Anolis sagrei: one gene and its partners. The protein of the gene in region 2 interacts with the protein of the main gene of each other region in a pairwise test. Links are inferred from orthologs where the notes say so. Each region holds a gene or a part of one and is shown on either strand. Other genes may lie near its edges.

Region 1 (10,598 bases), on a different chromosome or scaffold from region 2:
CCTTCTTTTCCTCTTTCCCCTCCTTCCTTTCTTCTCTACCTTTCTTTCCTTCTTTCTCTCCTTCCCTCCTTCTTTCTCTCCCTCCTCTCCCCTTCCTTCCTTCTCTACCCTTCTTTCTTTCCTTCCTTCTCTCCTTCTTTCCCTCCTTCCTTCCTTCCCCCTTTCTGTGTATGTTTTGTGTGTGTATATGCATATGTGTGTGTATATGTGTGTTTGTGTGTGTGTGTGTGCATATATATATATACGGTTTTACACATGCGTTGTAATTTTTGGGTGTTTTGTTTTGGCTTTTTAAGTCCCTTCTACTATGTTTTTCCATGTTTTTATGAGTGATGGTCACTTGTTGGCTTGAGAGGTGTCTTGTGTCCAAATTTGGTGTCAATTCCCCCAGTGGTTTTTGAGTTTGTTAATCCCACAAACGAACATTACATTTTTATTATTTACTACCCGTCCCCTGCCACGTGTTGCTGTGGCCCACATGGGGGTTCTGTGTGGGAGGTTCAGCCCAATTCTATCATTGGTGGAGTTCAGAATGCTCTGTGATAGTAGGTGAACTATAAATACCAGCAACTACAACTGGTATTTATTTTCCCCAAAGTCTACCAGTGTTCACATTTGGGCATATTGAGTATTCGTGTAGATTTTGGTCCAGATCCATCATTGTTTGAGTCCACAGTGATCTCTGGATGTAGATGAACTACAACTCCAAAACCAAAGGACCCTGCCAGTATTTTCTGTTGCTCATGGGAGATCTGTGTGCCAAGATTGGTTCAATTCCATTGTTGGTGGGGGTTCAGAATGCTCTTTGATTGTAGGTGAACGATAAATCCCAGCAACTACAACTCCCAAATAACAAAATCATTTTTTTTTAGTGAAGGACATATATTGGGTTGTTAGGTAACTTGTGTCCAAATTTGGTGTCGATTCGCCTAGAGGTTTTTGAGTTGTGTTAATCCCACAAACGAACATTACATTTTTATTTCTATAGACTAACTGTACCTGCCACGTGTTGCTGTGGCCTACCTTCCCTCCCTTTCTCCTCCTTCTTTCTTTCTCTTCTTCCTTCCTTCTCTACCCGTTTCTTTTCTTGCTTCCTTTGCTGTTTGGTTTCATCCTTCCTTGTCTCTTTCCTTCCTTCCTTCTTTCGTTCCTTCTCTCACTTTTTTATTTCCTTCTCTCTTTCCTTCCTTCTCTATCTTCCTTTCTTTCCTTCTCTCTTTCCTTCCTTCTCTATCTTCCTTTCTTTCCTTCTCTTTCCTTCCTTCTCTATCTTCCTTTCTTTCCTTCTTTCTCTCCCTCCTCTCTCCTTTCTTCCTTCTCTACCCTTCTTTCTTTCCTTCTCTCCTTCCTTCTCTACCTTCCTTTCTTTCCCTCCCTTCCTCTCCCCTTCCTTCCTTCTCTACCCTTTCTTTCCTTCCCTCCTTCTTTCCCTATTTCTCTCCCTCCTTCCTTCTCAATCTTCCTTTCTTTCCTTCTTTCCCTCTTTCTCTCCCTTTTTCTCTCCTTCCTTCTTTCTCTACCTTTCTTTCTTTCCCTCCTTCCTTCCCCCTTTCTGTGTATGTGTTTTGTGTGTGCATATGGAAATATGTGTGTGTGTATGTGTATATATATATGAGGTTTTTCACATGCATTGTAATTTTTGGGTGTTTTGTTTTGGCTTTTTTCTCCCACCATGGAATGATGTCCATGGTGGGAGAAAGAACTCTTGTCTGTTGAAGGCAAGTGTGACTGTTGCCATTGGCCTTGCAGCTTCAAAGCTTGGCTTCTTCCTTCCTGGGGGAATCCTTTTTTGGGAGGTGTTAGTATAGCACACTATTAGTATTATATATTACTATATTGTCCTTCTGCTGTGTTTTTCAGTGTTTTTTTGAGTGAAGGACATACATTGGGTTGTTAGGTGTCTTGTGTCCAAATTTGGTGTCAATTCGCCCAGTGGTTTTTGAGTTCTGTTAATCCCATAAAAGAACGTGACATTTTTATTTCTATAGACTAGCTGTACCCACCACGCGTTGCTGTGGCAAACCTTCCCTCCCTCTTTCTCCTCATTCTTTCTTTCTCTCCTTCCTTCCCTCTTTTTCTTCTTTTTTCTTCCTTCTCTACCTGTTTCTTTCCTCGCTTCCTTTGCTGTTTGGTTTCATCCTTCCTCCTCTCTTTCTTTCCTTCCCTCCTTCTCTCTTTTGTTCCTTCTCTCCTTCCACTTTTTTATTTCCTTCTGTCCTTCCGCTCCTCCTCTCTTTCCTTCCTTCTCTATCTTCCTTTCTTTCCTTCTTCTCTCCTTCCCTCCTTCTTTTCCTTTCTTCTTTCTCTACCCTTCTTTCTTTCCTTCCTTTCCCCCTTTCTGTGTATGTTTTGTGTGTGTATATGCATATATGTGTGTTTGTGTGTGTATGTATATATATGGTTTTGCACATGCGTTGTAATTTTGGGGTGTTTTATTTTGGCTTTTTAAGTCTTTTCTGCTATGTTTTCTAGTGTTTTTATGAGTGAAGGGCATCCATTGGGTTGTTAGGTGCCTTGTGCCCAAATGTGGTGTCAATTCACCCAGTGGTTTTTGAGTTCTGTTAATCCCACAAACGAATGTGACATTTTTATTTCTATAGACTAGCTGTACCTGCCATGCGTTGCTGTGGCAAACCTTCCCTCCCTCCTCCACTATCTTCCTTTCTTTCCTTCTTTCCCTATTTATTTCCCTCTTTCTCTCCCTCCTTCCTTCCTTTCTCTCCTTCCCTCCTTCTTTCCCTCCTCCTCTCTTTCCTTCCTTCTCTATCTTCCTTTCTTTCTCTCCTTCTTTCCCTCTTTCTCTCCCTCCTCTCCCCTTCCTTCCTTCTCTACCCTTCTTTCTTTCCCTCTTTCTCTCTTTCCTTACTTCTCTATCTTCCTTTCTTTCCTTCTTTCCCTCTTTCTCTCCTTTCTTCTTTCTCTAGCCTTTCTTTCCTTCCTTCTCTCCTTCTTTCCCTCCTTCCTTCCCCCTTTCTGTGTATGTGTTTTGTGTGTGTATATGCATATATGTGTGTATATATATGTGTGTTTGTGTGTATATATATATATATATATATATATATGTGGTTTTACACATGCGTTATAATTTTGGGGTGTAATTTCTGTGTCTTTTTGAGTGAAGGACATACATTGGACTGTTGGGTGCCTTGTGTCCAAATGTGGTGTCAATCCCCCCAGTGGTTGAGTTGTGTTCATCCCACAAACGAACAAGACATTTGTATTTCCCTCTTTCTCTCCCTCCTTCTTTCTTTCCTTCCTTCCCTCCCCCTTTCTGTGTATGTATTTTGTGTGTATATGCATATATGTGTGTTTGTGTGTGTGTGTATATATATGGTTTTGCACATGCATTGTGTTTGTGTATCTATATGTGGTTTTGCACATGCGTTGTGATTTTGGGGTGTTTTGTTTTGGCTTTCTAAGTCCCTTCTGATATGTTTTTCTGTGTCTTTTTGAGTGAAGGACCTGCATTGGACTGTTAGGTGTCTTGTGTCCAAATGTGGTGTCAATTCCCCCAGTGGTTTGTGAGTTGTGTTCACCCCACAATGGAAGGTGACATTTGTGTGTCTCTAGATGGTGCTCTGTCTGTGTGGGAGGGCCCAGGGAGCCACCCCAAGAACGGGAAGGCGTGCCCAAAGGCGTCATACATGGGGTTGTGAGGTGTCTTGTGTCCAAATGTGGTGTCAATTCCCCCAATGGTTTTTGAGTTGTGTGTTTGTGTATATATATATGTGGTTTTGCACATGCAGTGTAATTTTTGGGGTGTTTTGTTTTGGCTTTTTAAGTCCCTTCTGCTATGTTTTTCTGTGTGTGTGTGTTTTTTTTTTAGTGAAGGACATACATTGGGTTGTTAGGTGCCTTGTGTCCAAATGTGGTGTCAATTCCCCCAGTGGTTTTTGAGTTGTGTTAATCCCACAAATGAATGGGACATTTTTATTTCTATAGACTAGCTGTACCTGCCATGCGTTGCTGTGGCAAACCTTCCCTCCCTTCTTCACTATCTTCCTTCTTTTTCTTCTTTCCCTATTTATTTCCCTCTTTCTCTCCTTCCTTCCTTCTCTATTTTCCTTTCTTTCTCTCCTTCCCTCCTTCTTTCCCTCTTTCTCTCCTTCCCTCCTTCTTTATTTCCCTCTTTATTTCCCTCCTTCTCTCCTTTCTTCTTTCTCTACCCTTCCTTCTCTCCTTCTTTCCCTCCTTCCTTCCCCCTTTCTGTGTATGTGTTTGCATATGTGTGTGTTTGTGTATATATATGTGTGGTTTTGCACACGCATTGTAAATTTGGGGTGTTTTATTTTGGCTTTTTAAGTCCATTCTGTTATGTTTTTCTGTGTCTTTTGGAGGGAAGGAGATGCATGGGGTTGTGAGGTACCTTGTGTCCAAATGTGGTGTCAATTCCCCCAGTGGTTTGTGAGTTGTGTTCCTCCCATAAAGGAAGGTGACATTTGTGTGTCTCTAGCTTGTGCTCTGTCTGTGTGGGAGGGCCCAGGGAGCCACCCCAAGAACGGGGAGGCGTGCCCAAAGGCGTCCATTCCCACGGCAAAGGCTGGCCTTGAGGCGAGCAGGCCCGAAGGCCTTGTGTGTGGGTGAGGCCTCCAGCATCACAATCCCGGCTCTCGCGTGGAGGCCTGCCCGCCCGAGGCGCCTCCCCCTCTGCCTCGGAAGAGAGAGTCCGCCCTGGCTCACCCGCGCCCGCCTCCGAAGCTGCTGTAGGCCCGGTCGTCGTAGGAGTCGAAATCCGCCATGGCTGCTGCTGCTGCTCCTCCTCCTTCCGTCGCCTCAGCCTCCCCGAGCGCGAGCGAGCGCCGCAGGACCCCGCGCACGCTTATATAGCGGGCCACGAGCCCAGGGCTGCCCGCCGCGCTGCCTGAAGCGAAGCTACCCCTCGCGCCTGCGCAGTCGGACCCAACTTGGGGCTGCCCGCGGCGTGCCTGTCTCCAAAAAAAAAAGCAGTGTGTTTTCCCATTCTGTATGCAGAAGCATTCTCTCCTGACGTCTCACCCACATCTAAGGCAGGCATCCTCAGAGGTTGAGGGATCTGTTGGAAACTAGGCAAGTGAGGTGCAGGCACCCTCAGAGGTTGTGAGGTCTGTTGGATTTCAAATCTTCAAAGAAAGGAGCCTCCCTCACACTCCCAGGGCAGAGAGTTCCACTGCTGAACAGCTCTCACTGTTAGGAAGTTCTTCCTAATGTGTGCAGGTGGAATCTCCAGATATGTAAAGCCCACTTGGCTAATGTAATACATTATACTACTACTACTACTAAAGTTATATTATAATTTAATGTCTTATATTAAGGCAAGTGAGGAGTATATCCCCGTGGAATGATGTCCAGGGTGGGAGAAAGAACTCTTGTCTGTCGGAGGCAAGTGTGACTGTTGCCATTGGCCAGCCTGATCACCACTGCAAAGCCTTGCAGCTTCAAAGCCTGGCTTCTTCCTTCCTGGGGGAATCCTTTGTTGGGAGGTGTTAGTATAGCACACTATTAGTATTATATATTACTATATTACTATAGATGGATGGCCATCTGTCAGGGGTGCTTTGAATTCAAGGTTGTGAGTTTTCTGGGCTGTCTGCCCATGTTCCAGAAGCATTCTCTCCTGACGTTTCGCCCACATCTAAGGCAGGCATCCTCAGAGGTTGTGAGTCTGTTCGAAACTAGTCAAATGGAGTTGATATCTCTGTGAACATCCAGATATATAAACAAGTGTGAATGTTGCCATTGGCCAGCTTGATCACCACTGCAAAGCCTTGCAGCTTCAAAGCCTGGCTTCTTCCTTCCTGGGGGAATCCTTTGTTGGGAGGTGTTAGTATAGCACACTATTAGTATTATATATTACTATATTACTATAGATGGATGGCCCTCTGTCAGGGGTGCTTTGAATGCAAGGTTGTTGTGAGTTTTCTGGGCTGTCTGATCATGTTCCAGAAGCATTATCTTCTGACCTTTCGCCCACATCTAAGGCAGGCATCCTCAGAGGTTGAGGGGTCTGTTGGAAACTACGCGAGTGAGTATATTCCTGTGGAATGATGTCCAGGGTGGGAGAAAGAACTCTTGTCCGTTGGAGGCAAGTATGACTGTTACCATTGGCTAGCTTGATTACCATTGCAAAGCCTTGCAGCTTCAAAGCCTGGCTTCTTCCTGCCTGGGGGAATCCTTTGTTGGGAGGTGTTAGTATAGCACACTATTATTTATTTATTTATTTATTTATGGCATTTATATGCCGCCCTTCTCACCCCGAAGGGGACTCAGAGCGGCTTACAATATATATTTTCATACAATATATTATATTATTAGCATAGTAGAGTATCAGTATATACTACTATATTGCACTATACCATTATATTGTAATATTATTACTAATATTACATGTAATGTAAGTATATAATTATAATTATAATATTGAATTATTATTACTAGTATTATGTTGTATTACATTATAATTAGTATTATATTACTAATATTAGCAATATTAGTAATATATTAGTATTATATATTAGTATATTGTCCTATAGTGCAATCTTATTGGTAATATTACATGTATTTTACAGTTATGATATTATTATATTGCTTTATATTGTATTATATAATAACATTATGATCAATATAATATGTGTATACAATATATTATATTATTAGCTTGGCACACTGTTAGTATTAATTATGATCAGGGGAATCCTTTGTCGGAAGTGTTAGCTGGCCCATATAAATGTCGTAAATAAATAAATAAATTTGAGGATTTGAAACAGAGGCTGGATGGCCATCTGTTGGGGATGCTTTGAAGATTTGAAACAGGCTGCATGGCCATCTGTCAGGGGTGCTTTGAATGCAAGGTTGTTGTGGGTTTACCAGGCTGGTGAATGCCCTTGCAGTTTCAAGGCCTGGTTTCTTACTGCCTGGAGGAATCCTTTGTTGGGAGGTTTTCCTGCTTTTGGTGGTGAATGGCCTTGCGGTTTCAAGGCCTAGCTTCTTACTGCCTGGGGGAATCCTTTATTGGGAGGTTTTCCTGCTTCTAGGTGGTTAATGGCCTTGCAGTTTCCAGGCTTGGCTTCTTACTGCCTGGGGGAATCCTTTGTTGGGAGGTTTTCCTGCTTCTTGGTGGTGAATGCCCTTGCGGTTTCAAGGCCTGGCTTCTTACTGCCTGGAGGAATCCTTTGTTGGGAGGTTTTCCTGCTTCTTGGTGGTGAGTGGCCTTGCAGTTTCAAGGCCTGGCTTCTTACTGCCTGGGGGAATCCTTTGTTGGGAGGTTTTCCTGCTTCTTGGTGGTGAGTGGCCCTGCAGTTTCAAGGCTTGGTGGAATCCTTTGTTGGGAGGTTTTCCTGCTTCTTGGTGGTGAATACCCTTGCAGTTTCAAGGCCTGGCTTCTTACTGCCTGGGGGATTCCTTTGTTGGGGCTTTTCCTGCTGCTTGGTGGTGAATGGCCTTGCGGTTTCAAGGCCTGGCTTCTTACTGCCTGGGGGAATCCTTTGTTGGGAGGTGTTCCTGCTTCTTGGTGGTGAATAGCCATACAGTTTCAATTCCTGGCTTCTTACTGCTTTGGGGAATCCTTTGTTGGGAGGTGTTCCTGCTTCTTGGTGGTGAATAGCCATACAGTTTCAATTCCTGGCTTCTTACTGCTTTGGGGAATCCTTTGTTGGGAGGTTTTCCTGCTTCTTGGTGGTGAATACCCTTGCAGTTTCAAGGCCTGGCTTCTTACTGCCTGGAGGAATCCTTTGTTGGAAGGTTTTAATGCTTCTTGGTGGTGAGTGGCCCTGCAGTTTCAAGGCTTGGCGGAATCCTTTGTTGGGAGGTTTTAATGCTTCTTGGTGGTGAATGCCCTTGTGGGTTCAAGGCCTGACTTCTTACTGCCCGGGGGAATCCTTCGTAGGGAGGTTTTCCTGCTTCTTGGTGGTGAATGGCCTTGCAGTTTCAGGACTTGGCGGAATCCTTTGTTGGGAGGTTTTAATGCTTCTTGGTGGTGAATACCCTTGCAGTTTCAAGGCCTGGCTTCTTACTGCCTGGGGAATCCTTTGTTGGGAGGTTTTCCTGATTCTTGGTGGTGAATGCCTGGGGGAATCCTTTGTTGGGAGGTTTTTTGCTTCTTGGTGGTGAATGCCCTTGCGGTTTCCAGGCCTGGCTTCTTACTGCCTGGAGGAATCCTTTGTTGGGAATTTTTCCTGCTTCTTGGTGATGAATACCCTTGCAGTTTCAGGGCCTGGCTTCTTACTGCCTGGGGGAATCCTTTGTTGGGGCTTTTCTTGCTTCTTGATTAATGGCTTTGCAGTTTCCTGCCCTGGCTTCTTACTGCCTGGGGGAATCCTTTGTTGGGGCTTTTCTTGCTTCTTGATGAATGGCTTTGCAGTTTCCTGCCCTGGCTTCTTACTGCCTGGGGGAATTCTTTGTTGGGGCTTTTCCAGCTTCTTGGTGGTGAATACCCTTGCAGTTTCAGGGCCTGGCTTCTTACTGCCTGGGGGAATACTTTGTTGGGAGGTTTTCCTGCTTCTTGGTGTTGAATGACCTTGCAGTTTGAAGTCCTGGCTTCTTTCTGCCTGGGGGAATCCTTTGTTGGGGCTTTTCTTGCTTCTTGATGAATGGCTTTGCAGTTTCCTGCCCTGGCTTCTTACTGCCTGGGGGAATACTTTGTTGGGAGGTTTTCCTGCTTCTTGGTGGTGAATGGTCCTGCAGTTTCAAGGCCTGGCTTCTTACTGCCTGGGGGAATCCTTTATTGGGAGATTTTCCTGCTTCTTGGTGGTGAATGCCCTTTCAGTTACAAGGCCTGGCTTCTTACTGCCCGGAGGAATCCTTTGTTGGGAGGTTTTAATGCTTCTTGATGGTGAATTCCTGGGTTTTCCTACTTCTTGGTGGTGAATGCTTGGGGGAATCCTTTGTTGGGAGGTTTTCCTGCTTCTTGGTGGTGAATGCCTGGGGGAATCCTTTGTTGGGAGGTTTTCCTCCTTCTTGGTGGTGAATGCCTGGGGGAATCCTTTGTTGGGAGGTTTTCTTCCTCCTTGGTGGTGAATGCCTGGGGGAATCCTTAGTTGGGAGGTTTTCCTCCTTCTTGGTGGTGAATGCCTGGGGGAATCCTTTGTTGGGAGGTTTTCCTGCTTCTTGGTGGTGAATGCCCGGGGGAATCCTTTGTTGGGAGGTTTTCCTCCTTCTTGGTGGTGAATGCCTGGGGGCATCCTTTGTTGGGAGGTTTTCCTGCTTCTTGGTGGTGAATGTCTGGGGGAATCCTTTGTTGGGAGGTTTTCCTCCTTTTTGGTGGTGAATGCCTGGGGTAATCCTTTCTTGGGAGGTTTTCCTCCTTCTTGGTGGTGAATGCCTAGGGGAATCCCTTGTTGGGAGGTTTTCCTGCTTCTTGGTGGTGAATGCCTGGGGGAATCCTTTGTTGGGAGGTTTTCCTCCTTCTTGGTGGTGAATGCTTGGGGGAATCCTTTGTTGGGAGGTTTTCCTCCTTCTTGGTGGTGAATGCCTGGGGGAATCCTTTGTTGGGAGGTTTTCCTGCTTCTTTATGGTGAATTCCTGGGGGAATCCTTTGTTGGGAGGTTTTCCTCCTTCTTGGTGGTGAATGCCTGGGGGAATCCTTAGTTGGGAGGTCTTGGTGGAATGTGGTTAGACTGGATGGCGTAGGAGGTCTCTTCCAACTCTAATATTCTATGGGGAAAGAAAGGATTGGGTAGAGGAGAACTCCAGCTTGGAGGAACTTCAACTCCCAGGATTCCCTACCTAGGCTGTCCATAGGAAAGAATTCTGGGAATCGTAGTACAAAATGACCTCCCCGCATGCAATACCAAGCGATTCCGAGCGGTGGCAGCCGAGAGCCGGATGTTGCCCTGGAAGTGGGTGCGGATACGCATGCGCGTGAGGCGGGAATTGACATCCGGTTCCTTTTCCCAAGCATGGAGAGCAATGGCGGCGCGGAGGCTTCTTCTTCGGCGGGCGAGAGGCTCTTGGGCCAAAGCCGGGAGTTCCTGGACTTCTTCTGGGAGATCGCCAGGCCCGAGCAGGAGAGGCGCGTGGGAGGCACCCAGGGACTCCTGGCACACCTCAAGGAGAGGAGGAAGGTCAGTCTTTGGGCTTGGAAGGGAACCCCAAAGGGCATCTAGTCCAACCCCCACACGTGGACACCAGACAGAGGGACACCCAGGCTCCACTTAATAATAGTAATCATAATAATAGTATCCTAGAGTTGGAAGACACCATCTGATCACTCCCGACAGAGGGTCACCCACCTTCTACTTAATAATAATCATAACAATAGTATCCTAGAGTTGGGAGACACCATCTGATCCCTCCCGACAGAGGGCCATCCACCCTCCACTTAATAATAATCATAATAATAGTATCCTAGAGTTGGAAGACACCATCTGATCCCTCCTGACAGAGGGCCACCCACCCTCCACTTAATAATAATCATAATAATAGTATCCTGGAGTTGGAAGACACCATCTGATCCCTCCTGACAGAGGGCCATCCAGACTCCACTTAATCATAATCATAATAATAGCATCCTAGAGTTGGGAGACACCATCTGATCCCTCCCAACAGAGGGCCATCTAGACTATACTCAATAATAATGAGAATAATAGTATCCTAGAGTTGGAAGACACCATCTGATCCCTCCC
Region 2 (10,393 bases):
ACTAAGCGGCCACAAGGTCTCCAACTCACTCAAAGTGTCAACTGTGGGAGGGAATCGAACAGACAAGCAGACTCCCAACTGGTCTGTATTTATATCCCTGCTTGCACAGAAAGAGAAATACAGAGACACAGAGTAAGAGAGAATCCAACAGGACAATATAAATATAATAATAATAATAATAATAATAATAATAATAATAATCCTTTATTTATACCCCGCTCGAGGACTCGGTGCGGCTTACAAGGGGCCGAGCCCAAATACATCAGTAAAAACAACAACACAACAATAAATGAACTCAAAACAAAGCAATACACATTAACAACATACGATGATGCATTAAAATCTATGCCAGGGCCAAATGTAATAATTAAAATTTTAAAAATATGCAGGTGAAAAGGGTAGGTATTTGGAGGGGGATGGGGCGTGCAGATATCCTAGATTATTAGTAAAGTGCATTTGGGGACATATTGCTTGGAGTTTCCTTATTCTGGGAAGGCACGCTGGAACAACCATGTTTTCAAGCTCCTCCTAAAAACTGCCAGCATTGGGGCATGCCTGATGTCCTTAGGGAGAGAGTCGAGGGGCCACCACCGAGAAGGCCCTGTCCCTTGTCCCCACCAATCGTGCCTGCGATGCAGGTGGGATTGTGAGCAAGGCCTCTCCAGATGATCGAAGAGATCGTGTGGGTTCGTAAAAAGAGATGCGGTCACGCAGGTAGGCGGGTCCCAAACCGTTTAGGGCTTTGTAGGTAAGCATACAGAGAAATAAATACAGAGAGGTATAATAGGGAACGCGGAAACAAGAGAGAGATACAGAAAGATACACAAAGAGAGAAAATGGATATGGATAGAATATGTATCTTTTGTATTGTCGAAGGCTTTCATGGCCGGAATCCATGGGTTGTTGTAGGTTTTTCAGGGCTATATGGCCATGTTCTGGAGGCAATTTTTCTCCTGATATTTTGCCTGCATCTATGGCAAGCATCCTCAGAGGTAATGAGGATGCTTGCCATAGATGCAGGCGAAACGTCAGGAGAAAAATTGCCTCCAGAACATGGCCATATAGCCCGGAAAAACCTACAACAACCTATGTATCTTTTATTTAAAAATACATTTTAATATGTGTATAACAATGTTTATGTGTTTTGAATATTCTGTAATCTGCCTCCAGCCACAAAGGAGAGGCGGGTAAGAAATAAAATTATTATTATTATTATTATTATTATTATTATTATTATGAGAAATATTCGGAGAGAAATACAGATAAAAACTCTTGAGACAAAGGTACATACAGAGAGATGACAGAAAAAGAAAATCAAGAGACAGAAATATATAGAAAGAGATGGATAAGAGGGAACCAGGAGAATATAAATATAGAGAAATAAATACAGAGAGATATATAATAGGGAACACGGAAGCAAGAGAGATATAGAAAGATGCATATAGAGAGAGAGAGAAGAGACAGAGGGGCAGAAGTCAGTTCCATCTTGTCTCCTGTGCTTTACTAATAATATAATATATTGTATATACATATAATATTTATAAGAGAAGAGAATTATGCTGGGGGAAATGGAAGGAAAAAGGAAGAGGGGCCGACCAAGGGCAAGATGGATGGATGGGATCCTTGAAGTGACTGGATTAACCTTGAAGGAGCTGGGGGTGGTGACGGCCGACAGGGAGCTCTGGCGTGGGCTGGTCCATGAGATCACAAAGAGTCAGAAACGACTGAACGAATGAACAACAACAATGTAATATAATATAATACTAATAATAATACAATATTATAATTGGGTTGTTGTAGGTTTTTTCGGGCTATATGGCCATGTTCTAGAGGCATTCTCTCCTGACATTTCGCCTGCATCTATGGCAAGCATCCTCAGAGGTAGTGAGGTCTGTTGGAAGTAGGAAAATGGGTTTATATATCTGTGGAATGACCAGGGTGGGACAAAGGACTCTTGTTTGCCAGAGCTAGGTGTGAATGTTTCAACTGACCACCTTGATTAGCATTTGATGGCTTGGCAGTGCCTGGGGAAAAAACCATCAAAGTGGTGTCATCTGCATATCTAATGTTAATGTTTCTTCCAGCAATTTTAACCCCATCCTTGCATTCGTCAAGCCCCGCATATTACATGATGTGTTCTGCATACAAGTTGAATTGGTTGGAGGAGAGGTTACAACCCTGCCGTACGACTTTCCCAATCTTGATCCAGTCTGTTGTTCCACGGTCAGTTCTGACTGTTGCTACTTGGTCCTTATACAGATTACTTTTGATATGAAATCTATATCTATCTATCTATCTATCTATCTATCTATCTATCTAATAAAAGTGAATGTCTGTATGTAGAGGGCGGACATAGGAAGGTGTATGTGGCAGCTTTCTGATCGGCTGCCACTTTCACTGGCCACTGTGACCAACACGGGTGACGCACCTGGACCAAACTTGGCACACATAACCGCCATGACCCCCTTTACGTCCTGGGAGGTGGACCACAGATTATGGGATTTGTAATACTTTCAAACAATTTGGTTCCCAGGGACCACTGTGGCCCCCAACAAAGACCGATAAAGACCAAACTTGGCACACTGAGCCCCCATGACCCACTCTACATCCTACTGCAGTTTGGAGGAGGGCAGACCATGGATGATGGGACTTGAAGTACCTCCACTCGCTTTCCGAGACCGCTGCAACCCTCATCCAATGACTGAAAAAGACCAAACATGGCACACATAACCCCCATGACCCCCTTTACGTTCTGGTACGGTTTGGGGGAGATGGACCACGGATTATGTGATTTGTAGTACTTTCAAACAGTTTGGTTCCCAGGGACCACTGTGGCCCCCAACAAAGACCGATAAAGACCAAACTTGGCATACCGAGCCCCCATGATCCACTCTACATCCTACTGCGGTTTGGAGGAGGGCAGACCATGGATAATGGGACTTGAAGTACCTCCACTCGCTTTCCAAGGCCGCTGCGACCCTCATTCAACAACTGATCAAAACCAAACTTGGCAGAGAGAACCCCCATGATCTCTTTTATGTCCTGGTGAGGTTTGGGGGAGGATGGACAATGGATGATGTGATTTGTAGTATTTTCCAACACTTCGAGTTCCCACAGTCCACTGCGGCCCCCAACAATGACCAATAAGGATCAAACTTGTCACACAGAGTGCTCATGACCCATTCTACATGCTACTGCGGTTTGGAGGAGGATGGATCATGGATGATGTGACTTGAAGCACCTTCACTCATTTCCCCAGACCGCTACGACCCTCATGCAATGCCTGATCAAGACCAAATGTACTTCACTCACTTCCCAAGACTGCTATGACCCTCATCCAATGCCTGATCAAGACCAAATTTGGCACACAAAGCCCCCATGACCCAATCTACATCCTGGCGCAGTTTGGAGGAGGTTGGACCATGGATGATGGGACTTGAATTACCTCCACTCATTTCCCAAGACTACTACAACCCTCATGCAATGCCTGATCAAGACCAAACGTACTTCACTCACTTCCCGAGACTGCTACGACCCTCATCCAATGCTTGATCAAGACCAAACTTGGCACACAGAGCCCCCATGACCCTCTCTACATCCTGGTGCAGGTTGGAGGAGGATGGACCGTGGATGATGGGACTTGAAGCACCTCCACTCATTTCCTGAGACTGCTACGACCCTCATCCAATGCCTGATCAAGACCAAACTTGGCACACAGAGCCCCCCTGACTCATTCTACATCATGGTACAGTTTGGAGGAGGATGGACCGTGGACGATGAGACTTGAATTACCTCCACTCATTTCCCGAGACTGCTACGACCCTCATCCAATGCTTGATCAAGACCAAACTCGGCACACAGAGCCCGCATGACCCATTCTACATCCTGGTGCAGTTTGGAGGAGGATGGACCATGGGTGATGGGACTTGAAGTACATTCACACACTTCCCGAGACTGCTGCGACCCTCATCCAATGTTTGATCAAGACCAAACTCGACACACAGAGCCCCCATGTCCCTCTCTACATGGATGATGGGACTTGAAGCACCTCCACTCACTTCCCGAGACCGCTACAACCCTCATCCAATGCCTGATCAAGACCAAACGTACTTCACTCACTTCCTGAGACTGCTACGACCCTCATCCAATGCTTGATCAAGACCAAACTTGGCACAGAGTCCCCATGACCCATTCTACATCCTGGTGCAGTTTGGAGGAGGATGGACCATGGATGATGGGACTTGAAGTACCTCCACTCATTGCTATGACCCTCATCCAATGCTTGATCAAGACCAAACTTGGCACACAGAGCCCTCATGACCCATTCTACATCCTGGTGCCGTTTGGAGGAGGATGGACCATGGATGATGGGACTTGAAGTACCTTCACACACTTCCCCAAACTGCTGTGACCCTCATCCAATGCCTGATCGAGACCAAATTTGGCACACAAAGCCCCCATGACCCTCTCTACATCCTGGTGCAGTTTGTAGGAGCATGGACCATGGGCGATGGGACTTGAAGTACCTCCACTCACTTCCCGAGACCCCATGCTAGTAAATAAATAAAAAATAAGTATGGATAGGCAGAGAAAGAGAGGTAGATCTTAACACAAAGATCTATAGAGAGAGAAAGGGAGATGGATATGGATAGAAGGACATATAGAGAGACAGAGAGAGAGAGAGGAGTATAGAGAAGGCATAGGCCTACTTGGGGCCTTCCCTTCTGGGTGTTTTGGACTCCAACTCCCACCATTCCTAACAGCCTCAGGCCTTCTCCTTTTCCCCCTCAGCCGCTTAAGCGGCTGAGGGGGAAAAGGAATAGGCCTGAGGCTGTTAGGAATGGTGGGAGTTGGAGTCCAAAACACCCAGAAGGGAGCCCCCCAAGTAGGCCTCTCCTAGGCCCAGGCCCACACCTGGAAAGGAAGGCCTTCGGGCGCTCTTCCGGGCCGGGCGCCCCTTCTTCATGCCAGGCGCACAACCGGAAGTGACGGAGACACGCCGGAAAGAAAACAATCATCGGGACGCTCTAGGAGGGCTCTGGAGGTGAGAGAGAGGAAGCCAAACCGGAAGTGACGCCATAACTTGTGATCCAGAGCAGCACCCCTTCAGTCCCAAGGCCAAGCTGCTCTCCTCTTCCATGGCAAACCTATCATTCTAGGGTTTCAGAAGACTTTGAGTGGGATATTCATATTGATGATTCTGGGCTGTGTTTCCATCTCTATTTGAAGGGATTTGGGGATTTTAAAAAATATAGTTATTGCAAAAAGGCCAAAACAAAGTGCTTGTAGTGTTTTACCTCATGGATAGCATATTATTATCCTTATTATTATTATTATAAGATCATTTCAATATCTGATTATTATTATTATTATTATTATTACAAGATCATTTCAATAGTGACAAAATAATATTCATAGGATCACCTCAATATCGAAATAATATCACATCAATATCTGAATGTGATCGATAGTAATGAAATTCATAGGATCATCTCAATATCTGAATGTGATGGATAGTAATGAAATAATATTAATAGGATCCTCTCAATATCTAAATGTGATCAATAGTGACAAATAACATAGGATCACATCAATATCTGAATGTGATCGATAGTGACGAAATAATATAGGATCTCATCAATATCTGAATGTGATCGATAGTAAGGAAATTAATAGGATCATCTCATTATCTGAATGTGAACAGTAGTGACGAAATAATATAGGATCTCATCAATATCTGAATGTGATCGATAGTGACGAAATAATATAGGATCTCATCAATATCTGAATGTGATCGATAGTAAGGAAATTAATAGGATCATCTCATTATCTGAATGTGAACAGTAGTGACGAAATAATATAGGATCTCATCAATATCTGAATGTGATCGATAGTAACGAAATTAATAGGATCATCTCATTATCTGAATGTGAACAGTAGTGACGAAATAATATAGGATCTCATCAATATCTGAATGTGATCGATAGTGACGAAATAATATAGGATCTCATCAATATCTGAATGTGATCGATAGTAAGGAAATTAATAGGATCATCTCATTATCTGAATGTGAACAGTAGTGACGAAATAATATAGGATCTCATCAATATCTGAATGTGATCGATAGTAACGAAATTAATAGGATCCTCTCAATATCTAAATGTGATAGATAGTGACGAAACAATATAGGATCACATCAATATCTGAATGTGATAGATAGTGACGAAATAATATTAATAGAGTCCTCTCAATATCTAAATGTGATCAATAGTGATGAAATAATATGCATAGGATCATCTCATCTGAATGTGATTGATAGTAATGAAATAATATTCATAGGATCCTCTCAATATCTAAATGTGATTGATAGTGATGAAATAATATTCATAGGATCACCTCAATATCTGAATGTGATCGATAGTAATGAAATTCATAGGATCCTTTCAATATCTGAATGTGATTGATAGTGACAAAATAATATTCATAGGATCACCTCAATATCGAAATAATATCACATCAATATCTGAATGTGATCGATAGTAACTAAATTAATAGGATCCTCTCAATATCTAAATGTGATCAATAGTGACGAAATAATATGCATAGAATCATCTCATTATCTGAATGTGATAGATGGTGACGAAATAATATAGGATCTCATCAATATCTGAATGTGATCGATAGTAAGGAAATAATATAGGATCTCATCAATATCTGAATGTGATCGATAGTAAAGAAATTAATAGGATCCTCTCAATTATCTAAATGTGATCAATAGTGACGAAATAATATAGGATCTCATCAATATCTGAATGTGATCGATAGTAAGGAAATAATATAGGATCTCATCAATATCTGAATGTGATCGATAGTGACGAAATAATATAGGATCTCATCAATATCTGAATGTGATCGATAGTGACGAAATAATATAGGATCTCATCAATAACTCAATGTGATCGATAGTGACGAAATAATATAGGATCTCATCAATATCTTAATGTGATCGATAGTGACGAAATAATATAGGATCTCATCAATATCTGAATGTGATCGATAGTGACGAAATAATATAGGATCTCATCAATATCTGAATGTGATCGATAGTGACGAAATGATATAGGATCTCATCAATATCTAAATGTGATCGATAGTGACGAAATAATATAGGATCTCATCAATATCTGAATGTGATCGATAGTAAGGAAATTAATAGGATCCTCTCAAAATCTAAATGTGATCAATAGTGACGAAATAATATAGGATCTCATCAATATCTGAATGTGATCGATAGTGACAAAATAATATAGGATCTCATCAATATCTGAATGTGATCGATAGTAAGGAAATTAATAGGATCCTCTCAATATCTAAATGTGATCAGTAGTGATGAAATAATATGCATAGGATCTCCTCAATATCTGAATGTGATAGATAGTGACAAAATAATATAGGATCACATCAATATCTGAATGTGATCGATAGTAAGGAAATTAATAGGATCCTCTCAAAATCTAAATGTGATCAATAGTGATGAAACAATATTCATAGGATCACCTCAATATCTGAATGTGATAGATAGTGATGAAATAATATGCGCAGGATCATCTCATCTGAATGTCATCGATAGGAACGAAATAATACTCATAGGATCACCTCAGATATTGACAAACTGGGATGTGTCCGGAGGAGGGCGACTAAAATGATCAAGGGTCTGGAGAACAAGCCCTATGAGGAGCGGCTTAAGGAGCTGGGCATGTTTAGCCTGAAAAAGAGAAGGCTAAGAGGAGATATGATAGCCATCTATAAATATGTGAGAGGAAGCCACAGGGAGGAGGGAGCAAGCTTGTTTTCTGCTTCCTTGGAGACTAGGACGCGGAACAATAGCTTCAAACTACAAGAAAGGAGATTCCATCTGAACATGAGGAAGAACTTCCTGACTGTGAGAGCCGTTCAGCAGTGGAACTCTCTGCCCTGGAGTGTGGTGGAGGCTCCTTCTTTGGAAGCTTTTAAACAGAGGCTGGATGGCCATCTGTCAGGGGTGATTTGAATGCAATATTCCTGCTTCTTGGCAGAATGGGGTTGGACTGGATGGCCCATGAGGTCTCTTCCAACCCTAGGATTCTATGATTCTCAATATCTGTGATTAATAGTAATGAAATAATATTCATAGGATCCTCTCAATATCTAAATGTGATCAATAGTGGCAAAATAATATGCATGGGATCATCTCAACATCTGAATGTGATAAGATAGTGACGAAATAATATAGGATCCCATCAATATCTGAATGTGATCAATAGTAATGAAATTAATAGGATCCTCTCAATATCTAAATGTGTCTGATAGTGATGAAATAATATGCATTGGATCATCTCATTATCTGAATGTGATTGATAGTAACAAAATAATACTCATAGGATCATCTCAATATCTGACTGTGATCAATAGTAACGAAATAATATTAATAGGATCCTCTCAATATCTAAATGTGATCAACAGTGACTAAATAATATGTATAGGATCATCTCATTATCTGAATGTGATCGATAGTAATGAAATTAATAGGATCCTCTCAATATCTAAATGTGATGGATAGTGACGAAATAATATTCATAGGATCACCTCAATATCTGAATGTGATAGATAGTGACAAGATACCAACGAAATCTCTACCTCTGAGGATGCTTGCCATAGATGCAGGCGAAATGTCAGGAGAGAATGCATCTAGAACATGGTCATATAGCCCGAAAAAAACCTACAACAACCCAGTGATTCCGGCCAGGAAAGCCTTCGACAATACAGTGACGAAATACATATACACATGCACACATTTCCACATATATACACACAAATATGCATATAATAATCATCATCATCTTTATTTATACCCCGCCACCATCTCCCCGAATGGGACTCGGGGTGGCTTACATGAGGCCAAGCCCGGTAGTACGATTACAATAACATAACAACAACATAACACAAAAGCATGAAGTAAACATCGCAATAGGATAAGTAAAGCATAAAAATATAATAAAAAAATAATACAGAGAAAAATCAAACACACACAAGCACACACATATACACAATATGCATGTACACATATAAACACGCAAATACACACACACACACACACACACATATATATGTATACACACACACATATACACTTACTTACTTACTTACACGATCCCTCGTAGTCCGAGGATGATGGTCCTCCAAGTGTAGCATCCTGGTGGTGGGTCCGTAGGTGACTGTGGAGCCCTATTCTTGATCTGCATCTTCTCCCGCAGTGAGGGCATCGGTTTCCAGGTGGAAGGCGGTCCCTGTCGGGGTTGGCTTGACGCGCCTTTCTCTTGGCATGTTTCTCTCTTTCGCCCTCCATTCGTGCCTCTTCAAATTCTACAGCACTGCTGGTCACAGCTGACCTCCAACTGGAGCGCTCAAGGGCCAGGGCTTCCCAGTTCTCAGTGTCTATGCCGTAGTTTTTAAGGTTGGCTTTGAGCCCATCTTTAAATCTCTTTTCCTGCCCACCGACATTCCGTTTTCCGTTGTTGAGTTCGGAGTAGAGCAACTGCTTTGGGAGACAGTGGTCAGACATCCGGACAATGTAGCCGGTCCAGCGGAGTTGATGGCGGAGGACTATCGCTTCAATGCTGGTGGTCTTTGCTTCTTCTAGCACGCTGACATTTGTCCGCTTGTCTTCCCAAGAGATTTGCAGGATTTTCCGGAGGCAGTGCTGATGGAATCGTTCCAGGAGTTACATGTGACGTCTGTAGACAGTCCACGTCTCGCAGGCATATAGCAGGGTTGGGAGGACAATAGCTTTATAAACAAGCACCTTGGTCTCCCTATGGATGTTGTGGTCCTTAAACACTCTCTGCTTCATTTGGCAAAATGCTGCACTCGCAGAGCTCAGACGGTGTTGTATTTCAGTGTCAATGTTGACATCTGTAGACAGTCCACATTTCGCAGGCGTAGAACAGGGTTGGGAGGACAATAGCTTTATAAACAAGCAGCTTAGTCTCCCTACGGATGTCCTGGTCCTCAAACACTTTCTGCTTTATTTGGAAAAATGCTGCACTGGCAGAGCTGAGGCGGTGTATTTCGGTGTCAATGTTGACTTTTGTGGAGAGGTGTCTGCCAAGGGAGCGGAAATGGTCCACATTTTCTAATGTTACACCATTAAGCTGTATTTCTGGCATTGGAGAGGGATTGGTTGGTGACTGCTGGAACAGCACTTTGGTTTTCTCGATGTTCAATGACAGACCGAGCTTCTTGTGTGCTTCTGAGAAGGTGTTTAGAGTGACTTGTAGGTCTTCTTCTGAATGTGCACAGACGACATCGTCATCAGCATACTGGAGTTCTATAACAGATGTTGTTGTAACCTTGG
Region 3 (10,841 bases), on a different chromosome or scaffold from region 2:
ACACTTGCTGAAATTTCCTCTTCTACACACCTGTTAAAGGTACAGGAGTCGAGTCCCCTCCAGTTTCCACTCCAGCAACACTACCTGTATGTGTTGTGAAAATATCCACCTGTTTGATCAGGGTATTATTTTAAAACATGTGCTTTCTCAAGAGTCAACAAATGAAGTGTCTCAAGTCTATCTTTACTCTGTTTTTTCTTTTCTTTTTGTCATGAAGAAATATGGAAGGAAACAAAGTAAATGAAGATAAAGAATTGTGGGAAGTGAAACAGAAATACATGTTACTGAACTGGGAAAGCTGAAAACACTTTTGAGTGACCCTAGGCTAGGGTTGGGTAGATTTTAAACCTGTGAGATCTAATTTGCCAGTTGCTCCAGACATGAAGAAAAGTCTCCAAAAGCCCCAGGATTGTTTCTGTACAACCTGATTTCATTTATTTTTGTACGTGATGTTTTCTCCATCCACAACTATTTCCAGAGAACTCGTGGTATTAACAAGAACTTTTCATTCCTACTCTTGGGGTCAGCTTAAATTAACCTAGTATTTCCTAGTGAATTTGCCCCTAGTAGCAAGAAATTGGTTAATTGGGGGAGTCAATATGTCCTTCAAGGCTGGTTTGCCTCCCTTGTGTGATGGTCCTATGACATACAATCAGAGGGAGGGAGAGAAGGAAGAACACAAGGTAAGGAGAAGTAAACCCAAAATATTTCAAGGAGTTTATATGCAAACCATAAAAAATGTAAATCTCAATACTTCCAGAGACATTGTTATCTAGTTAAGCCCTGCTTTTTATTAATCCGACACAGAAATCTATGTGCCAGATTCAGATGCAATATCGATAGTTTGGTGCAACGTAGTTGACAGTTAAGGGTTTGTCTGAATGCACACACTCAGACTTAAGATTTGGTGATCATTGACTGAAGCAAGTTCAAATTCTTCTTACACAAAAACTGTTCCTGTCCCCATCCCCAGATGTTGGGGGCTGCTCTCATCAACCTGATTTCAAAACAAAGTCTGTTTTGAGCAAACTAATTTCAGTGTGTGATTTTGAGTAACTCTAGTTTGACTCCAGCATTAAAGGAGCCCTGCCAGTGATTTAAAAAGCAGTGTTTCAACAAAAGACATCAAAGCCTAGGAGGCACAGCATGGTTTCCAGGAAATCAGTGTTTTAGCAAAAAGCCCTACTCGGTGGCTTTTTCTACGATTCTGGGGAGAGGAAATCCCCTTCAGTTCAGTTCTAAGATAAATGTCCAACTGGTTTCTTCAGCCATGTTACCGGGTACATGTCTTAAGAAAAAGGCAGTAATGTCATTCCCTAAATGCCACACATTGTCACACTGCCCTAATAGAGATGTTACAACTTGCTTGACCTGGCAAATCACTCACCTGATCTCCTGTCATTATGGGTATTGCCTCAATGCAGTAAGTCTGACTGTAGATTAATTTCCTCGCCTGGGAGTTATTGAAGCTTAATGTTTGAGTGATAGTGTTCTACAGCCTTGGAGCACTCCACACTGAAGAGTCACAATTATTTAGGAGTTATATTTCTGGAGATGCTTTCTAGTTTCAGCCTTTTCATTATTTCATAGAACAATATATATCTATTCTAGTTGGGGGCAAACCAAGAATGGGCAATGTGGAAATCCCTGAACAGACACAGAAGTGAAGTGGGCAGATCAAAAGACAACCTGACAAAATGGCACTACCTAAAAGAATCCTCCACCTTGTGTGACTGTGGGGCAGAACAAACAACTCCGCATCTGTATGCTTGCCCACAATGCTCTGCCTCATGCACAGAGGAAGAATTGTTTAAAGCTGCAGACAATGTGGTTGCTGTTGCCCATTTTTGGTCTAAAATTATGTAGCTGCTTGTGCTCCCTCTATTTTATCAGTTTTATACTTGTTTTATTTACGCAATGCTTTTGACATGAAATAGTCTGGGATAGAGGGTTATATAATTTGGACATCTTGACAGCAGTTTTATGTTTTCAATACTTTTGTGTGTTATGTTTAATTTGACTGAAATAAATTTGGATAGGTTCCTTTATGCACAGACCCATAGATCTTTCTTACTCTGGACCAGACAATTGATCTATTTAATTCAGTAGTTCTACCATAATGAATGGAAGTCTTCTAAAACATAAACCAATTAAGATAACATAGCAGCATTTATTATTTCATATGCATACCAAAAAAGGGAAATGCGAAAGACTGCTCAAACTTCCGTACAGTGGCCCTTATTTCTCATGCCAGCAAGGTAATGCTCAAGATCCTGCAAGGAAGACTCCAGCAATACATGGAGCGAGAGTTGCCAGATGTTCAAGCTGGGTTTAGAAAAGGCAGAGGAACGAGAGACCAAATTGCCAATATCCGCTGGATAATGGAGAAAGGCAGGGAGTTTCAGAAAAACATCTACTTCTGCTTCATTGACTATTCTAAAGCCTTTGACTGTGTGGATCATAATACATTGTGGCAAGTTCTTAGTGGGATGGGCATCCCAAGCCACCTTGTCTCTCTCCTGAGGAATCTGTACAAGGACCAAGTAGCAACAGTAAGAACTGACCATGGAACAACAGACTGGTTCAAGATTGGGAAAGGCGTACGGCAAGGCTGCATCCTCTCACCCAACCTTTTTAACTTGTATGCAGAACACATCATGCGATGTGCGGGGCTGGATGAATGCAAAGCTGGGGTGAAAATTGCTGGAAGAAACATTAACAACCTCAGATATGCAGATGACACTACTCTGATGGCCGAAAGCGAGGAGGAGCTGAGGAGCCTTCTAATCAAGGTGAAAGAAGAAAGCACAAAAGCCGGGTTGCAGCTAAACGTCAAAAAAACCAAGATTATGGCAACAAGAATGATTGACAACTGGAAAATAGAGGGAGAAACCGTGGAGGCTGTGGCAGACTTTGTATTTCTAGGTGCAAAGATTACTGCAGATGCAGACTGTGGCCAGGAAATCAGAAGACGCTTACTTCTTGGGAGGAGAGCAATGTCCAATCTCGATAAAATAGTAAAGAGTAGAGACATCACACTGGCAACAAAGATCCGCCTAGTCAAAGCCATGGTATTCCCTGTAGTCACCTACGGATGTGAGAGCTGGACCTTAGGGAAGGCTGAGCGAAGGAAGATCGATGCTTTTGAACTGTGGTGCTGGAGGAAAGTTCTGAGAGTGCCTTGGACTGCGAGAAGATCCAACCAGTCCATCCTCCAGGAAATAAAGCCCGACTGCTCACTGGAGGGAAAGATACTAGAGACAAAGTTGAAGTACTTTGGTCACATCATGAGGAGACAGGAAAGCCTAGAGAAGACAATTATGCTGGGGAAAGTGGAAGGCAAAAGGAAGAGGGGCCGACCAAGGGCAAGATGGATGGATGGCATCCTTGAAGTGACTGGACTGACCTTGAGGGAGCTGGGGGTGGTGACGGCCGACAGGGAGCTCTGGCGTGGGCTGGTCCATGAGGTCACGAAGAGTCGGAGACGACTGAACGAATGAACAACATGCATAATTACAATTTGCCAGGTAGCCTGGTATTAGGCCCATGTTGCAGTCTGGAGGAAGCAGATTAAAAGACAACAGTTTACCTAAGGTTAATTCATGTCTGGAGTAAGATTTGGGCTTGTTTGTTACTAGATGCAGCTCTATATGTTATGCAGCCACAATTCTTAGAGCATTGAGATGGCCTTCATATAGCTGAGATGGGGCAGGCTTTGAATATATATATTTGGTCATATATATTTGAACATATAGTTGGCCAGACCTCACCTGAAATAACACTGTTAATTCAAGTAGGATATTGACAAGCTGGAACATGTTCAGAGAAGGCAACCAAAATAATCAAAATTTGGAAGCCAAGCCCTGTGAGTGGCCAAGGGAGCTGGGTGAAAGGAGAAAGGAAGCTTGGAGAAAGGAAGGCTAAAAGGGGACATGGTCACCATGTTTCAATATTTCAAATGATTTCATAAGGAAGAGGGAGAAGGTTTGTTTTCTGCTACTTTGGAGGTGCTACATGGAGCAATGGATTCAAATTACAGGAAAAGAGATTCCACCTAAATCTTAGGAAGATTATAATGTATTTTTATTTTTTGGCTTTTAAGTCTCTTCCGCTATGTTTTCCAGTGTTTTTATGAGTGACGGTCACTTGTTGGGTGTGATAGGTGTATTGTGTCCAAATTTGGTGTCAATTCACCCAGTGGTTTTTGAGTTATCTTAATCCCAAAAACAAACATTAAATTTTTATTTATGTAGATCTTGATATTAGAGGTTTTTTGAGAGACTCCCTCCTGGGCACACAGAAGACTGGGCGACTTGGAAGGCGCTGAACAGACTGCGCTCTGGCACCATGAGATGCAGAGCCAACCTTAAGAAACGGGGCAAAAAAAGGGGAATCCACGACATGCGAGTGTGGAGAAGAGCAAACCAGTGACCACCTGCTGCAATGCAACCTGAGCCCTGCCACATGCACAATGGAGGATCTTCTTGTGGCAACACCAGAGGCACCCCAAGTGGCCAGATACTGGTCAAAGGACATTTAATAAACTACCAAGCTTGCAAATTTTGTATTATGTCTGTTTGTTTGCTTTGTTCTGTTAGAAATGTAATATGTAATATAATTGACTGGCTGCCCTAACACGAAATAAATACAGTACCCTAAACACGGCTGATCTCGGATTGACAGCCACAGCTTGAGGTTCAAACCATTATATCACATTTCATGATTTCCTTCCCTCTCATTTTCCTATCTACCTTTCTTTCTCCCCTTCCTCTGTTTTGGAGAGAGCATTTCCTCCCTTATTTTTTTTTTGGGGGGGGGGGGGGGGAGGGGAATAGAGAAAGGAAAGGAGATTTAAGAAGCAAGAGAGCAATGGAGAGGATTCCTACCAAGCTTGCACATTTTGTGTTTTGTCTGTTTGTTTGTTTTGTTCTGTTAGAAATGTAATACAACTGTCTGGTTGCCCCTGACACAATAAATAAATAAATGAATAAAAAAGTGCTTGACATTTGGAAGTTGTAGTTCCTGGGATTTATAGTTCACCTACAATCAAAGAACATACTGAATTCCACCAGCGATGGAATTGAACCAAACTTGGCACACAGAACTCCCATGACCAACAGAAAATACTTAACGGATTTGGTAGACATTGGTCTTGAGTTTTGGAGTTGTAGTTCACCTACATCCAGAGAGCACTGTGGACTCAAACAATGCACCAGACTTGACACAAATACTAAATATGCCCAAATGAGAACCCTGGTGGAGTTTGGGGGGAAATGGACCTTGACATTTGGGAGTTGTAGTTGCTGCGATTTATAGTTCACCTACAATCGAAGAGCATTCTTTGGGCCAAACTTCCCACAGAGAATCCCCACGACCAATAGAAAATACTGTGTTTTCTGATGCCCCCCCCCCCCCCCCCGTCCCGACTCCCAGGTTGAGAAACGCTGTTATATGGCATCGGCTCAAGAGGCACAACTCATGTCACGTTCCCTGGCACCTCTCCCTCCCGCCTTTCTGGCCCAATCTGCGTGCGCATGCGCCTTGCCTTCTTACTCGACCGAAGCCTCACCGCGCCTTGCCCTCCTCTTAATCGCCCCGCTCTTCCGCGCATGCGCCCACCCGCCCTTCTTTCTCTCTCTCTCTCCCCCTCCCTCCCCGGCCCCGCGAGTCTCGCGAGAAGCCGGGATTTATTCCTACGTGCTGTGCCGTGCTGCTCATGGCGGCGCTGGAGCGGGGGCGCTGAGCTGTTGGGGTAAGCGGGGCTCCTCGAGGGCGGGGGGCGCCTTCCCTGGCTTCGGGGGGAGGCCGGAAAGGGCGGGGGAGCTGGGTAGGCCTCCTGTCACGGCGGTCCCGGGCGCCAACGGTCCGGAGGGGCTGCTCCCCCTCCCCTTCCCCTCCCGCCGTGCGTGCGCGCTCGCTTCCCTTTTGCCCCGAGAAGGAGGGAGAGAGGAGGAGAGGGAGGCCGCGGCGGGCTGGGAGTGCTGCCTCTTTCCCCTTCGCCTCAGCCGGGGAGAGAAAGCGCTCGCAGTGGGCCCGAGCCTTGGCAGCACTACACTTCCCGGCGTGCACTGCGGGTCTTTGCCCATTGCTCTCTCCCTCCCCTCCCGCGGGGGCCGATGGGGGATGGAGTTTGGCGGCGCCGTGGTGTTGAAAGCGGCGGCGGAGTGTGCCTGCCAGGGGCCTCGCCGCTTGGCCTGCTGGGGGATGGAGTTCCGGCTCCCGCCGCCTCTCGGTGCGGAGAGAGGGGTGCGAACTCTCTCTCCCGGCATGCAGCGGGCCAATGCAGGGAGGGGAAGAGCAGGTCAATCTTCCTTTGTGTGAGGGGGAGCGGGCGCCATTTTCCTTTTTTTTTACTCACTCCCCCCAATCTTGGCCAGAGAGGGACACGCCCCAGGCCCTTGTGAGGGAGAACCGGAACGCCTTCGCCTGCAAGCCCCTCACACGGCGTCCGGAGGCCGGCGTTGTGGCGTCCCTGCGCGCCGAGCCCGGGCTTCGGCGTCCCTTTCCCTCCGATGCGGACCCCCACCCTGATTTCCCCTCAGCAGGAGCAGGAGCCACCATCTTGCTGCCCAAGGACCATGTGCCTCGGCGCTTGACAGTGTGATGCTGCATTTTGCGGGGCGAAATGGCCACTCCAGGCCTAACGAGTAGAGACGGAGACAGGGCCACTCTGGTCACTGGAAACCTTTAGATTTAACCTCCAGAGAAGCCGGCGGTAGCCCTTTCAAATCGCAGAAGGCTTTCTTGAGACTGGTGACAAGTAAAACAATGTAAATTAAACAGGATTGTCATATTTTTATGCATACTGCAGGCATGGGCCAACTTGGGCTACCAATATTAAAAAAAAACCTCTAAAATTACAACAACAAAACAATAGAGAGGAAACAAAAAAGGACATCTAATCACCTCTCGACAAAAGATTGCCCCAGGCACTACCAGGCCATCAAATGCTAATCAAGGTGGTCAGTTGAAACATTCACACCTAGCTCCAACAGACAAGAGTTCTTTGTCCCACCCTAGTCATTCCACAGATATATAAACCCATTTTCCTAGCTCCAACAGACCTCACTACCTCTGAGGATGCTTGCCATAGATGCAGGCGAAACGTCAGGAGAGAATGCCTCTAGAACATAGTCACATAGCCCGAAAAAACCTACAACAACCCAACTTGGACTTTCCCTCCAGAGGTTTCTCATTACATTTGTGTGACATACTAACATGTCGCAACAGAGTTTTGATATCCCTGCTGTATAGGCTACTATAAATTAAAAACAAAAGTAAAATGAAGGCTTTGCTACATATTGAAACCCATATGAAACTTTTGCCCCACTCTGTAGAGCAGGCATGGGCCAACTTGGGCTTTCCCTCCAGGTGTTTTGGACGTCAACTCCCAACATTCCTAACAGCCTTAGGCCTTTTTCTCTCCCCCAGCCACTTAAGCTTAAGGAAGGGGCCTGAGGCTGTTAGGAATTGTGGGAGTTGAAGTCCAAAACACCTGGAGGGAAGGCCCAAGTTGGCACATGCCTGCACTATTGAACGTGCCAAAAGTTACATGTGGGTTTCAATATGTAGCAATGCCTTCATTTTTGTTTTATTTTTAATTTATAATACCATATACAGCAGAGATATCAAAACTGTCTGTTGCGACATGTTAGTATGTCACATGAATGTAATGAGAAACCTCTGGAGTCTATGTGAAATAAGCAATAAATCATATATATTTTAGAAATACAAATTAAAGATATGTCCCCATAACGGTTCGTTATTCCAGTTTTTGTGTGTCTTTATATTTCTTGGGGCCCTTCCAGACAGGCCCAATATTCCAGAATCACATCCCAGATTTTTTGCTTTCTAGATTATATGAGTCTGCACTGTCAGATAATCTGGTATAAACAGAAAACTTAGGATCAGATCCTGGAAGGGCCCTTGGTTTTACATCTGGTTTGCTAGTAAAACTGAATTATTGTGTTGCAAAATGATGCATGTTTGGAACATGTATCACAAATATTAAATGTTTGGAAAGCTCTGATACATATAGGAAATAAATTACATTGTGTGAAAAATTCTCTTAAAAACATTTTCATAAAGTAAACATCAGATACCTTTGTGACCTTTGACCCACCTTGTACAACTATTTGGATACAGTATGCTCCTTAAAATACTAAAATATATATTTTAAACCATTGGTTGATGAGCCTTGTATTTGTCTGGTTTGACCCATGCCCATTTGTAATTAATTTGCTTGTTTGGTCTAGAATGGCAAAGAAGTCTACTTCTGTCTTTTACTAAACCATTATTCTTGTTTGAATTAAACCCCTGTTTTATAACTTATACTGGAACTTCGACTGAATTCAGTTGTTCTAAATTTTGTCCATTATTAGAATATTTTAGTGTGATCTTTTGAGAAACTATTCAGAGAAATTTCCAGTTCAGAGAAGTTGGACTTACAAAAAAATAAATACCAAATTATTTTTATTACCAGCTCCACTTTTGTTATGTATTGTTATCTCTGGCTATTAATTCCCTATATCTCCTGATAGTAATTACCTATGTCATTCAGCTAATTTTAGGGTGCTAGCCTATATTCAAATTAATTTGGATAAAAACCTTTAGTAGGTGTCTATATAAATACCATGCTATTGTTCATGGATCGTGTCAATGCCTCCGTTCTTTATGTAGCTACCATTTATTAAACCAGATTTTCAGACATAAACAAAAATTGTGAGACATGAAGCAGAACAAACTAAAAAACACTACTAAGTCATTAGGGGAAAATTACAACTGAACATTCTCCTTACTGTGTTTGACTTGAGCTAATCCTTTGTGAATCCATGTGTTGAGACTGCTGCATTGAAAGCTCAGCAGCTGCACTGGGTGTTTACTGTTGGGAGGAGTATTTATAGCAGCTGAGATGAAAAGTAAAGAATTTAGACCACAGGCGTACACAGTACTGATTTTATTGAAAATATGCCTAAGGCTCTTTCACAACCACATGATTCTACCATCTTATATAGGAAATGTGTGCATATAAACTGATTTATGCTGTCACAGTGCTCAGCATTTCTTGAACTATATTTGTATGCCTCTGTTTCCAAGCATATATGCATATTTAATGAAATGGCCACTAGTTCCAAGCAATCCACATGTTTTGAGTAAATTGAGTTGTGTATGTTTGATTAATTTCATAATTAAAATCTGATCAGTTTTCTTACAGAAATGCTTAAAACAGTCTCTTATTGTAGATTCCTACCCATCATAATCTTATTGGCTTGTTTTGATGTCAAAAACATTCAATTTTTAAAAACGAAATTGCTTGTGCTTTTCTTATGGGTTTTAACTATGCCACTAGTACTAAGTGGTACAGGAAAACACTTTTTAGTGAGAGATGTCATTCCCTAAAGTATAAAATAGGCTAAGGAAAATAAAATAAATATGGAAACAAATGTTTAAAAAACTAGAATACAGTGCTGTTCTCCCTCCCTAGTGTTCTGTAGCTTTTGATTCTGGGTGTACCTATTTCCGTAACAGATCCATAAGTAACTCCTTCCTTTATGGCAAATGCCTCAGCTGTTGCTCAACATCATCCATTCTGCATTCCATGACCAGTGAAAGTTGGGTGTTGGGAAAATTCCATCTGGAGTCAGGTTCATCTGTTCTTCACTACATCTTGAGCATCAGATACAGGAAGGAAACAGGCACCCCCTTGCTCCTAAGAGGAGGCCTGAATGAAATGCTATTGAAGCAATACCCAAAGGAGGACTACACACTTTCCAGGTTTTAAGGGGAGGGACGAGTTCCTTGCGCCTTGCAAAACCACATTTTATATTGCTCCCTGGCCCTAAAAATTGTTTGGTGACCATCTCAGAAGCCTTCAAGGGATGTGAGCGGCCATTTCAGACTACTATCTCTGGCTTGTTTCAGGCCAATGGAAATCTTTTTTAAAAAACTAAGAAAGCATGTATAATTTTGAAAGAAGGCCCAAGGCAAGCCCATTGGAGGTCATAAGGGCTATTTAAATGCTTTGGAGTCTTCTGGGAGCACAATTTTTCAGTTTTAGAATCCCCCAAAATAGGGCTATGGTCACAGTGACCTTGGACCCATATTTTGGCATGCAAATACCCTAAAGGAATGTTAGTAGCATATGGAAGATACTGTTCATTTTTGATGCACAGGATTTGGACACAAGTTTAAATATACAAGTTAAGGGTAACAGTAAATCTTTTTGGTGCATTTACCTGAAATGGTAGAATTGGAAACAATTGATATACTTACATATTTACACTCCTAAAATATTGGCTCTGAACATTACTTTTGACCCATTGGAACTTCGGGGATTGACTTGGAGAAGCCACTTATATCCAGTTTTGCCGCCTTCTGTATAATTATGCTTTTTATGCATGTTTTGTAATTGGCTTGGCGTATTGCTGTTTGTCAACTATTACATTATAGCTTGTCAATATTAGCACAGTAATGTGTAATTATAGAGAAACTCACTGTGGATAGGAATAGGTGCTTAAGATTTTGTGTATGGTTGTTCTAGTCCATGTAAAGGTGTCTTGAATCTGTAGCACAGGTTTAAATATCAGTTTGACACATGTACATGAGCCAATCTATACTTAAAATTATTGATCGTCACTAAGATGTCTTGATTGTCATTTTAAAATTAGAATTGATTTTTTGTAACTTTTTTGCTTTGTGTGGTCACTAGGCTTTATATATTTCAGTATTCTAATTACATTTCATAGAATCATAGAATAATAGAGTTGGAAGAGACTATGCAGGCCATCTAGTCCAACCCCCTGCCTGCAATGAAAGGACCATTTGCATCAAATGAAATTGTT

The links.
Region 1: the proteins of C12H11orf68 (region 2) and EIF4H interact in binary tests that used the Homo sapiens proteins (3 or more experiments, as listed by UniProt). The two-hybrid records come from large-scale screens. The link is inferred for Anolis sagrei from reciprocal best matches to the Homo sapiens genes C11orf68 and EIF4H.
Region 3: the proteins of C12H11orf68 (region 2) and CSDE1 interact in a two-hybrid assay, tested with the Homo sapiens proteins (2 studies listed by BioGRID and IntAct). The link is inferred for Anolis sagrei from reciprocal best matches to the Homo sapiens genes C11orf68 and CSDE1.

What each region holds. Positions count from the first base shown.
Region 1 is NC_090031.1:32,718,134-32,728,731, reverse strand, and holds the start of EIF4H (eukaryotic translation initiation factor 4H), read right to left. Parts: upstream 4,809-10,598; 5' UTR 4,740-4,808; coding exon 4,681-4,739; intron 1-4,680. Other genes in the region: MYBBP1A (myb-binding protein 1A), read left to right, coding at 9,873-10,037. UniProt on the Homo sapiens protein: Stimulates the RNA helicase activity of EIF4A in the translation initiation complex. Binds weakly mRNA.
Region 2 is NC_090032.1:9,784,667-9,795,059, reverse strand, and holds the start of C12H11orf68 (UPF0696 protein C11orf68 homolog), read right to left. Parts: upstream 5,027-10,393; 5' UTR 5,019-5,026; coding exon 4,915-5,018; intron 1-4,914.
Region 3 is NC_090024.1:203,340,356-203,351,196, reverse strand, and holds the start of CSDE1 (cold shock domain-containing protein E1), read left to right. Parts: upstream 1-5,643; 5' UTR 5,644-5,752; intron 5,753-10,841. UniProt on the Homo sapiens protein: RNA-binding protein involved in translationally coupled mRNA turnover.